Caenorhabditis elegans: one gene and its partners. The protein of the gene in region 3 interacts with the protein of the main gene of each other region in a pairwise test. Each region holds a gene or a part of one and is shown on either strand. Other genes may lie near its edges. The genes, in order: tofu-4, C26C6.8 and frm-1.

Region 1 (3,755 bases), about 10 Mb from region 3:
TAAAAATGCAATGAAACCACTGAAGAAGTTAAATCTTCAATTTTTCAGAACTATTTTCCCCTGCCTAACAAAAACCGATCCGATCTTGACAACGGATGTATTCAAGCGTCACAGTCAACCGACTGATATTTAATAACTTATTTCTTCCATCTCCATTAATGTTTTGTATCAAATTTTTCTGGTCGCTCCCAAGAATCTCATCGCTATTTTTCTATGAAACTTGATTTTCAAAATTTAAAAAAAGTTTTATTAAAAAAAAAAACATCTTACTAGAAAAGAAACAAAGAACGTATATAAAGTGTCGAACGATTGCGAAAAAGCTAAATATTACAGAAAATGTTTGGTCAAATACGGGAAAAAACGATAGATTATATTCTCACGATATAAATAAATTTGAGATTTGAGATTCTCAAACAACAGCTAGATGCTCTAAAATTTGAAACAAACAGAGAATAATTAAAACAATAATGTGACTCGGATAAAAATTCTTTTAGAATTCTGCGTCTACCATCAGATAGTCGAAGTCTTCTTCCTCCTTTATGGTTCCCTCGTCGCATTGACTAGTCAGGTCAGGAAGGCTGTACTGATCAATAGTCGACGGCTGCTCCGATGTACTTTCCACGTTTGTGTAGTCGATTGGAACATCTACATGTCCGAGCGATTTCTGCTTAATCCTTTCGCGAATTTCCTTCATCAGTTTGGAGTCTCTTTCCTGCTTTTTTGAATTTGCGACATTATTCAGGAACTTGATGGAAGACTCGTGAGCATTGAATGTGGATTGGAAGAAGACGAGATGGCTGAAAAATATTCTTAATCAATATATATGGTTTTAAAATACTCACGTAAATGGTTCCTGCCATAATAATTCGTCCGGATATTTGATGTCGTTCTTGTCAATAAATCCTGAATGTTGATTTTGAATTGAAGATCGACTGTATCCATGAACGGACTTTGGAGCACTGAAAACATAATATTTATTCATGATATTTCTCTTAACAATTACTTGTAGCTCGCGATCTTCTCCGAAAAAGGGTTCATATTTAGTTCGACGGCCTGTGCCACTTGCTCTTTAGAGTTTCTTGTTTGGTAGAAAGAAAATGAATGCGAAATAATATCCGCTTCATCCTCATCGGAATTGATTTCGTCTCTTTTTGTTGATCTGATTCCGATACCCATCCTTCTCATTGCTTTCCAATCGACTTCAGGATCGTCTTGTTTGATGTCACTTGTCAAAGACTGAAAAATTATTGCAAATATTTAAATTATAAATTCTTACACACCTTCAGAGTCAATCCTTGCTCAGCAAAAGTGTCACAGGTGTAATCATCTGCAAGTTCCAGGTCCGGTCTCTTGATGCGACGTCTTTTAGGGACTCCTTGAGGTCTGGTCTGCAAGAAATCATTTCTAAATTTCAACAACTAGCATTAAAATCCCACCATTTTTCTTCTATACAGTCGCCTTCTTCGTTGCTTCGGCATCGCTTGTGGTTCGTACTCACAAACCACGTCTTCAGTGTCTGAGACTTCCCCATCTAACGCTTTCTTTTTCTTTTTGAGAATCCTGTCGTTCTTCAACCCACGAGCAATTTTCTGCTCTAATTCTCGGACAATCTTAAAGAAGTTAAATCGATAAAAATTTTTTAAAAGGCAGCATACGCGTTCATCCGGTCGCTCGCCTTCGGAACTTTCTGCAGCATCCACCATCGAACTCTTGTGAGTCTCCACAACGTATTCATCATCACTCTCCTCGTCGCTGCTGCTACTGTGATCATCGTCGTATTCATTTTCTGAAAAACTCTTGTTGTCAGTGCCATCTGCCGATGCGGGCGGTACTTCGATCTCCAACGGATCCTCTACAATTTCTGTTTCAGGAATTCGTGATTTCTTCTCGGGCTGGTTCACTCCCGAAGATTCCGCATTTGCTCTTTTTGATGCGCTTCTCGTCGTCGGTTTCATCTGAAATTAATGTCTCATTATTAAATATAGAAGCTTAAAAACACAATAAATGAATAAGTAAAAAACGTTTATTTAAATTTTAAGTGCTTTCATCTGTTCTTTGCACATTTCAAAGCGGTTTCTAGACTCAAAATACATAGAGATATGCTCAGATTTTAATAAACTACAATTTTAAAACTTCAAAATATGAGAAATTCTCTTGAAAGTGCATTTTAAGTAGAAAATGAACGGAAAAAAATTGAAATATAAAAGAAAAAACTTAAAGGTGCATGACATTTCTTCCATGGGTCTCGACACGAGAACACAACATGTTGACCTGAGTTACGGTAAACTTCGGTTGAAATTAGTTATTTTATGTCAAATTATTCATTTATTTTTCAGTTTTTTCTCATTTTCAATTAGTTTTTAATTAAAAAAAATGTTTTAAAATATTTTAAGTGTCAAAATGGACGAAAGCTTCGACTCTTCTGTTGTCCCTGGCTCTCTGACGAGTGATGACAGGGTGAGTAGATTTGACAGAGTTTTTTTTGTCGAGAAAACGAAAATTTTCAGGCTATATTCAACGAGCAAACATTGAAAAATGGTGATGAAAATTCGAAAAGCTCTCTTGAAGTGATGGCCAACTGCGTTTATCTTGCAAACTCAACAATTCTCCGTGAACGGAAAGTTATTCCTGCGGAATACTTCCAGGATTTTCAAGTTTATGGTGAGGTTTTATCTATCTGACTTGCAATTAAGCATGAATTATTTTATAGGAGATGTCAGCGGATATACTTTGCGACAAGACATTCCAGAAGGACGGAGTGTGTCTTCGAAGCTTTTGGCGTCTCATGACGCGATCCGTCAGAAACTCCTTCAGGTACAGTTTTACTCTCGTAAGTGGTAAAAATTCATTGTTTGCAGAAACTCGCTATTGTCGTTGAAGAGTCACTAAACACGAATCCCGTGGAAACGTTTGTCTGGACCTTTGTCTATGACTCAACCACATCTGCAAGTGCCGAAATCGGATACGGAGGGTTAGATCATTTATCTAAATATAAATTTCACTGACTCTTTTCCAGGCGTAAATCTAAATTTGTGGTGAATTATTTAAACATGGATGATACTGCTCAACAGTTTTGCAAGATGTTCAGCGAGCTTAGAAATGTTCTAAGCCTGCTCCGTCCGCTACCAAGAGGCCTCATTCCATCGATGAAAGTAGCATACAGAGGAGGTAAGGTTAAAAATATTTAATTTAAATCATAAATAAATTATTGTTTTAGAACCGGAATTCGTTCCCGGATTTCAACAAGTCGACGATTTTGTGAATCCTGAGCAGATCAATCTTGGTGCTGTTAGTTTTCCTCACGGCAATGGGTTTGTTCGTCATTTCAATCATCAAATTCTTAATTAAATTGATTCAGATTTCAATTCGCATATGCCTCGAAATTCATGGTTGAACAGCCTTCAGCCATTCGTCCACCAGTGGAAGTTTCTCATTTTGAAGATGATTTGCTCAACTCAACGATCACACCGATCGAAGTTGTTCGAGATAACACAATGAATTGTGCTGAGAATCCTGAACTTGACGAAATCTATTTTTCACCAGGTGCGTTTTGTCGAGAAAAAAAATTAATTTTCTAATGTTTATAGGTCGTCAAGAAGTACGTATGGACGAAGATGTGGCAAACGAATCAATTCGTTGTAATCCAAGTATGGCCAGTGAAATGATGGTTCTGCAGTCCGAATATAATGTATTGATTGCTGATAATGATGAAGTTCCAATGGTTGTTGAAAGGGAACGTTCTCCAATAGTGAAAG
Region 2 (3,755 bases), 7.4 Mb from region 3:
TTTATCAAATGTAAACGGATGTGCGCCTTTAAAGGGTACTGTAGCTTCAAACTTTCGTTGTTGAGGAATTTGCATAGATTTTTCATAATTCTCCGTTAAAAAATGTATTTATTTATTTTAAAAAACCACAAAACACATATATTTTATTTTACTAATCGTGAGAAAAACTATGAGCACGAAAAGTTGTATTTACATTACAGTAGTCTTTAAAGGCGCACACGTTTTCACACTTAACAAAATTGTTATCGTGTCGAGACCGGGTACTGTATTTTTGGCGCAAAAATAACAAATTTTCGCGTCTTCTGAGTCTTTTAATTCTGAAAAAAAAAACAGAATAACACCCATGACCCATCTGAATAAGTCCGTACACCTTTAAGCGTTTCAGAAAACTGCGAACTTACGATACCATTTTTCTTTAATGACACGGCTAGCTTGTTGCAATATTTCATGTGGAATCTTAACATGGGAAGAAGGTACAAAACCAGATTGATTGTCCGAATTTCGAATATAGGTCCACTCAGGATCTGATATATTCAAAACTGTGACAGATTCTCCATCTTTCACAGATATATCATCTGGAGCTGATCCATCAAATGACTGTAGTATTTGAACTTCGCATATCTCATCCTGCAGATAGTATCAAAAGAATATTCAATAGCTTTATTCAAAACAAACCATTTTAAAAACCTCTCCTTCTTCTTTTTGAACAGGAAGACTGTCGATAAATCTCTGCAAATTTGATTTTTCCCAACGGCGATCAAGTGTCGCGCTGGATCCGATCACCTTTTTCTGAAAAGTATTTGATTTGATTTCTCAACGGTTCCATTCCCGAAATTCTTGGAGATCAAACCGAAATGGGACTCTCTGACATCACGTGGCTTCTAAGTTGTTCTCACTAAAGGTGACAATGATTTTCACCACTTTTCTTCGATTTTTCAATGACAAAACTATGAAATATCTATGAAATATTGGAAATAATTAGGAGTGTGGTTACAGTAATTCGCAAGGCGCACATTCTTTTGCGCATATTTCGGTCGTGTCGAGACCGGATACAGTAGTTTTAAATGAATATCATTAAATGCCACAATTACACGTGTTGTTGCATTCTTTAAGATTTGCACTAAAAATAACTTTTCTAGAACATCTAAAACGCTCACCTTTTCACCGTGTTTTGAATTCAAAAGCAATTTACAATATGTCTGTGGAACAAATCCTTTTCTTCCATCAGATACCTCAACATAAATCCATTGATCATCTCGATAAATTGCTTTAACTGTAGTGCCACGGGTTACACTAATTTCGTCAGCAACCTTAAAAGTGAGAGGTTAGAAATTGGGGTAATTTGGAAAAACTGAAAACTATACAGTTGCTGTGAAGTTTTTTGTTAGTTGTCCTGGAGTATAAGGATCAAAATGATCCACTTGCATACTGTCAACCCATCCACCATTATCGGGCACTGAAATTCATTTTTGGAGGTTTTATTTTTAATCAGCTAAAATTAGAAAAAAAATGGGACAAACTGTGCTCACCTCTTCCAGATACAACTTTCCAAAAAATGCTCCTAATGCCCATTGTTTTTGTGCGACGAAAAGCCAATGAATTGCTCACAAAACACGGTTAATCAACAGAGGCATGTCAAATTATTGTTTGTTCACCGAAAATTGGATCTGATTGGAAAAAAAGATGGAGTCTCGGGAGGGAAAGGCATGAAAGGCGGACAGTATTATTTGGCTTCAGTATAATGGCTTATTTTGCCCTAGAAATAAGGAATCTGTGATATTTTATGTATTTTGGAGATTACCATGCAGAGATGCATAAACTTTTGTATCTTGTTTGGAAGTTTTCAATTAAAAACCAATAAATTTTAATACCAGTTACGTGGCAACCGCTTACTAAATACAAATTCGGAGGCGAAGAATACAATTTTAATAAAAAATAATTTATTTCCAAATAAACTAGAAAAATGACTATTGAGTTTATCAATTGTGCAGGATGTAAAGCCAAAATCGCCGAGGAGGATGTCGAAAAGGTAAATCCACAATTGGTGTATTTCCTTTAAAAAAGTAATTTTTAGAACAAAGTTGTCTTCTTTCTGAATCGAATGTGGCATCGGGATCATATTCAATGCATTTTTTGTAAAGTTAGTTTTGGAAGCGTTCGGAAAAAAGCACTTCCAAAATTTCAAAATATCCAATTTTAGCTTCAAATCTCGGACAATCGTTATTTCCGTTCATCAATTGATCCAATGAAACCATCATGTTATGCATGTCATATTCAAACAAATCATCCATCTTGCACAGGTATTTTTAGTTCTTCGAAGTACTGATTAGTAGAAATTAAAAATTGAATGATATGGCTTGTGAATTCGGTTTTGCACGGGTTATACGAACTTTGATTACTCAGCTACATATAGGAAAGATTAGAGCCCCTTACGATTACTTAAAAAACAAATTTTACAGGATGCTCATTGCCAGTAATTGAACGAGGACTTGTTGCATTTAATCGTCTCTTTCATATTGATTGTTTCCGTTGTGCAATCTGTAACAAGACAATTCCTCAAAGAAAAGGATTTTATGAACGTGATATGATGTTTTATGATGACGTTTGTTATATGCTTCATATCAAAGATGTTCTATAACATATTGAACTTATTTGAAAAAATAATGAATAGATTTTGAACGGTTTAAAGTGTATTTTTGTGGGTTAACTATAATTTCTAAGATACTGATTTTTGAGAGATTTCAAGACAAATAGGGAGTAAAGTAGTCCCTTTCGGAACAATTTTTCTGTGATTTCTCTTGTTCACTGACAAAAACTGAACAATTTCAGTGTTTCATCTAATTAAAACATTTTTTTATCAGAAACATTGGACTTTTTTAAAATTTATAACACGATTTTTGAAATTTTACACATTTTGAAAAATGCAATTTCTGAATCCAGAGTTTTGTCAATTTTTCAATCAATTTATAGAACTTGCAAAAGTGAAACAATAATTATAATATTTGAAACATCACAATCATAATGAGCATCCTTCTGTTCTTTCATCATTTAACCTCCTCCATTCAAGTAGTAAAGTGTGCATCTAGTAACTTCACACCACAAAATGTTTCTGTGGGAGAAGAGCTACGGGATGGATGAGATGTGTCACCTGTGTCAGATCAAAATGACGTCATATAGATCTTAGTTTTCTTTTTCGAGTAACTACGTACTCGAAAATGTTTTGTGACTTTTTAAACATGTCAGTGTCAATCTTTTAATAATTTTTTTTTGTTTTTTGTTTCTGTCTGATTTTTTTTTGTGTAATAGTCTTGAAATCTTTTTGAAATCTAAAAGTCTTCTCAAGTCTCAATTCACTATTTCAATATTTGTCATTTTTACGTTTTTACAGAGAAACTAAACATTTAACTTTTGTTTCAGATGAAGTTTTGGCATATTTCCAATTTTCCTTGCAAAATTTTTTTTAAATATTGAACACTGTTGAGTGAGGAAATGTTAAACTACACAACATTGAAATTTTTAAACACAATTAACTAAATATTATTAAACCCAAAAACGTAGGAAATTTTGTTTTTTTTTCGGGCTACTTCCGCAATTATAATCGACTGTAAATAAAAAAGAATTCTAAAATTTTTTGCCATGCTTTGCTTCAAATAGGAGTGATTCCGAACATTCCACACTGGCGACACTCCACCTTTAATATATTTTGAGCATAAAGCTACACTTTAAAATACGATTTTTGTACTGAAGTTAACTAT
Region 3 (3,755 bases):
CAGTGAATAAAATTTGATCACCCTCAAGAAATTGGCGGAAATTTCAAAATTAGCTTAAAAATCACCAAGCTGATAAATTGAAAGAGAATACTTAACAAATTAATTATTTTAGACAAAAGTAAATACTACTATTTTTTTCATAAACCACTAAAAATATTTCTTCAAAATTAAGGACTTGAAGAATGAGCACTAAAAGAAGAAAATGATAGAAGTTTAGATGTTAATTTAAGAAAAAATATTTTCCTAGTGGAGTACTCGAGCAGGAACCTTTTTTTGTCGAAAAACATACGGAGATTGCCTTGAAAAGGTGGATTCCGTAGAGAGCCAGGTGCTTGCAGTGATCCAAAAATTGATTTTCAGCTTCAGAAGGCGTCTGTCCGCGCATCTCTCTGTGCAAATCGACAATCTTCTTGTATGTTTCCGGATTCGCTTGTGCTGATGGCACCAGCTTGGACGCCACAATGAACTGCTCGTAGGCATCCGTCATCTCTGCTGGAGCATCACCGAACTCGATTTGAGCGACAAACGATCCGAGAAGAGAATGTGTGTCGGCAGTAGCTGGAAGACGTCCGGTGAGGAGATCACGTCTGAGTTGAAGGAAGACGTAGTAGCGAGCGTGATCGTCGACGATCGTTGTAGGTGTGGTCGGGTAGAATTTGACCTCGAACGAGAATTCCCAAGGAAGACCTGCAAAATTTGACAGTTGGTTGAAAAATTGATTTAAAAAAGAAAATGAAATAGGTGGCCGCGGGAAACCTCTTACACGGCCATGTGTTGATTTACGCAGTTTTTGGTTGAAAATTGTTCGAGATTTCGATGTTTTTCAGACTAATTTTTTTTTTTGAAACAAAAATTCCAACTTTCAATATTTTCCGCTTTCGCTCTATAAAAAATCAGTAAACTTTTAAAAAAGACTCGATTTCAAAATTAAAATTATCAGATTTTTCGATTTTCTTTGAAATACACAGAAGATTTGAGAAAACTTTGCGAAAAATGTAGAAAAACTATTTTTCTTCGAGGAATACACGAGCTGCGTAAATCGACACGTGGCCGCGGGTTAGAGTTTTTTATTATATTTTTAAGGATAATATTCCTAGATTCTTGTAATTCATCAGGGAATTTACAAAAAAAAAGGAAAATTAATACAACTTTGGACATGAAATCGATTCAATTTCTTTTCCGAATAAGAGAAATATTTTTATTTACTTGAAACAGCTTTCCAAAAATTTCAAGGCAGTTTTTTTTTTTTGAAAAAGCGGGGGAAATTAGCTTTTTGTGAAGAAAATCCACATTTTTAACCAAAATTTTCTTTTTTTTCTCATTTTTACCTTTAATCTGTTTCGCAATATTCTTATCATTATATAGCCAATGTCGTGTTCCCTCATCTTTGTCGTAGAAGCACAGCGAGAAGTATTCGCGTTCCTCAATCGATAGATCTCGTGTCACTTGTCGGAAAAGTGCTTCTCCTTCCGAGTTTTTCTGTAAAAATTTAGAATTTAGCAGTTTTTCCGGTGAAATTCTTCAAAAACTTACATTAACCTCAAACTCCTTTTGAACTCCGTCGGGAAGAAGAACTTTTGCCAACTGCATTTTCGAATCTCGTGGCTGCTGGCTAGTCGTTGGGTGTTTCTGGTCTCCGGGATCTCTATCGGTACCCATTTGCTCTGAAATGTGGAGGAAATTAATAAAAATTAGAAAAAAAACTGCAACTTTCATTGAAAATAGAAGTTTTAAAAGTTTATAGAGCAAAAGAAAGTGTTAAAATTTGAATTGCCCGGCCGACAGGGAGGAGGGGGGGGAGTAATGCAAACGCGCTCTATTCGAAATGCCACATTTTGTTCTGTTTTTCTGCGAAAAAAAAAGACAGAAGGGATGAATTGGTGTTGTTGGGAGAAAAAGTAGCCAATGCCCGGCATAAAAAACGCAATAAATTCTGGGAGGCATAGTAGAGAAGGACAATAAAGAAAAATTACACCTTTTCTCCGGTACCCGCAGATTGTGGTGAGAAAACATGAAATATTAGGATCATTTGAAGGTGGAAATGAAAAAAGAAAGAGTATTGGAGAAAAACAGTGGAAGAGTTAACTAAATTTACATTCAAAGTTGAAGAATACTTTTTTTTTACTAGAAATAAATACGAATTCAAAATTTTGGCTTTGACGATTTTAATGGGAATTTATAACGTGAATTTTTACGTTTTTATCTTCTGAAAAACAAAAACAAATTTATAAATGCCAGAGAACGTGAAAAAGTGGAAAATGTGGATTCGCAGCGCGAATAACACTAATTTTTGAGAAATGAAGATTTCGTGTCGAAAGTTTGCAGGGAATAAGTTAATTTTTTAGCTTTTTAATTACTTTTTAATTAAAATACAATAAATGGTAGGAAAATAGAAAAAAATAGAGGAAAACATCGAAAAAACGGACAAAATTTGTCTACAGTAAACTTAAAGGCGCATAGTTATGTTCGAGTGGGTCTCGCCGCGACGAAAACGTTTATGGTGGAAATTTTTATTTTTTTCAGGAATTTATTAGTTTTTAACGATTTTCCTTGATTTTCGTTAGCTTTTCAATAAGTAATTCGTATTTTTTAGTTCAGGAAAAAATAGGAAAACATCGAGAAAAAATTAAAGTGATGATTACAAAAATTGCTCACGAAATCCCGAATAAATAGAAAATTGCTACCACAATTTTTTATCGTGGCGAGACCCAACCGAATACATTCTTGAGGCGTTTATTACACGTTTCTAAAAAGCTTGTGAACTTGATAAAGTGAAATCACGATTAGTATTTTTAATTAGAAGTTTTCGATAGAGTAATTTTCTCATTGTCAGTCATGTTGGTCGCTACAAGACCCAAAATACACATTATTGGCAAATATCACAATAAAAAATTGTTCACATAGTTTCAAAAGAATTCCAATATATCAAAACAGCAAAAAATAATGCTTACGGAGAGCTTCAATTGATAGCAGAGGTGCACACACAACTGTTGCTATTTCTGTGCTATTTGTTGCTCTCCTCTCTTATTCTCGCCACCGCCATCAGGATGAAGAAGACGAAACCAACAGGCGTTGTGTTGGCCACAAAACAGCAGAAAAAAAAAACAAAAACGTTTAGTTTATTACACTGTTTCATTCTATTCTTTTCATCTCAGTCAATCACAGTAGTGGGAATTCGGAGGCAGAAAAGATGAAGGCGAGAGAGGTGTTGCAATGAGACAATTTTTCGCAATAGCAAAGAAGAGAGAGAACAAACAGTTTTTATTGTTGAACCAGCTTGTAGATTGACAATGTTGCCGATGAGAGAATTATTGGAGGCAATTAATTTTTTGGAAAGTTTCCTTCCGCTGTTTCACAGACCTAGTTATGACTAGCTTTAGAGACAGTCAACATCGCCCCTCCTTGTTTGACCTTTGGAAATTAAAAATATTTGGCAATAGATAACAACTGCCAAATCTCAAAAATTGAGGAAATTATCGAATTATCGAAAATTTGAACGGCCCAGTTGTAATTGCCACCAACCACTGCTCCGAACTTCAAACTACCCAATGCAAAACCGTTACCAGAAGTGAAAAATGCCCAGCATTGCCAAAACAAAATTTCAAAACATCTCCAAACAGATGGTTCCTCTTGGTTCTGACACTATGCCCTTGGTCACCGTATGTCCGTCCCTCACAAAGAGCATAAAAATTGAGAAATAGTGCAAGACCTTCCAGATGCGCAGACATTTGTTGGCGCCCTCACTCCTTCATTCA

What was found.
Region 1: the proteins of frm-1 (region 3) and tofu-4 interact in a two-hybrid assay, tested with the Caenorhabditis elegans proteins (one large-scale study listed by BioGRID).
Region 2: the proteins of frm-1 (region 3) and C26C6.8 interact in a two-hybrid assay, tested with the Caenorhabditis elegans proteins (one large-scale study listed by BioGRID).

The regions. Positions count from the first base shown.
Region 1 is NC_003279.8:4,824,679-4,828,433, forward strand, and holds tofu-4 (Twenty One u-rna (21U-RNA) biogenesis Fouled Up), read right to left. Parts: upstream 1,962-3,755; 5' UTR 1,956-1,961; coding exon 1,656-1,955; intron 1,611-1,655; coding exon 1,437-1,610; intron 1,389-1,436; coding exon 1,281-1,388; intron 1,237-1,280; coding exon 1,004-1,236; intron 960-1,003; coding exon 843-959; intron 798-842; coding exon 491-797; 3' UTR 226-490; downstream 1-225. Other genes in the region: F57C9.6 (G-protein coupled receptors family 1 profile domain-containing protein), read left to right, coding at 49-133; htp-3 (HORMA domain-containing protein), read left to right, coding at 2,401-2,457, 2,508-2,661, 2,711-2,814, 2,859-2,971, 3,017-3,168, 3,218-3,311, 3,359-3,543, 3,588-3,755.
Region 2 is NC_003279.8:7,504,009-7,507,763, forward strand, and holds the start of C26C6.8 (SH3 domain-containing protein), read right to left. Parts: upstream 1,635-3,755; 5' UTR 1,573-1,634; coding exon 1,530-1,572; intron 1,457-1,529; coding exon 1,365-1,456; intron 1,311-1,364; coding exon 1,158-1,310; intron 790-1,157; coding exon 676-789; intron 628-675; coding exon 407-627; intron 1-406. Other genes in the region: C26C6.6 (LIM zinc-binding domain-containing protein), read left to right, coding at 1,964-2,029, 2,075-2,140, 2,201-2,300, 2,460-2,638.
Region 3 is NC_003279.8:14,895,704-14,899,458, forward strand, and holds the start of frm-1 (Moesin/ezrin/radixin homolog 1), read right to left. Parts: upstream 1,660-3,755; coding exon 1,534-1,659; intron 1,480-1,533; coding exon 1,329-1,479; intron 1,082-1,328; exon of another isoform or gene 860-1,081; intron 688-859; coding exon 290-687; intron 1-289.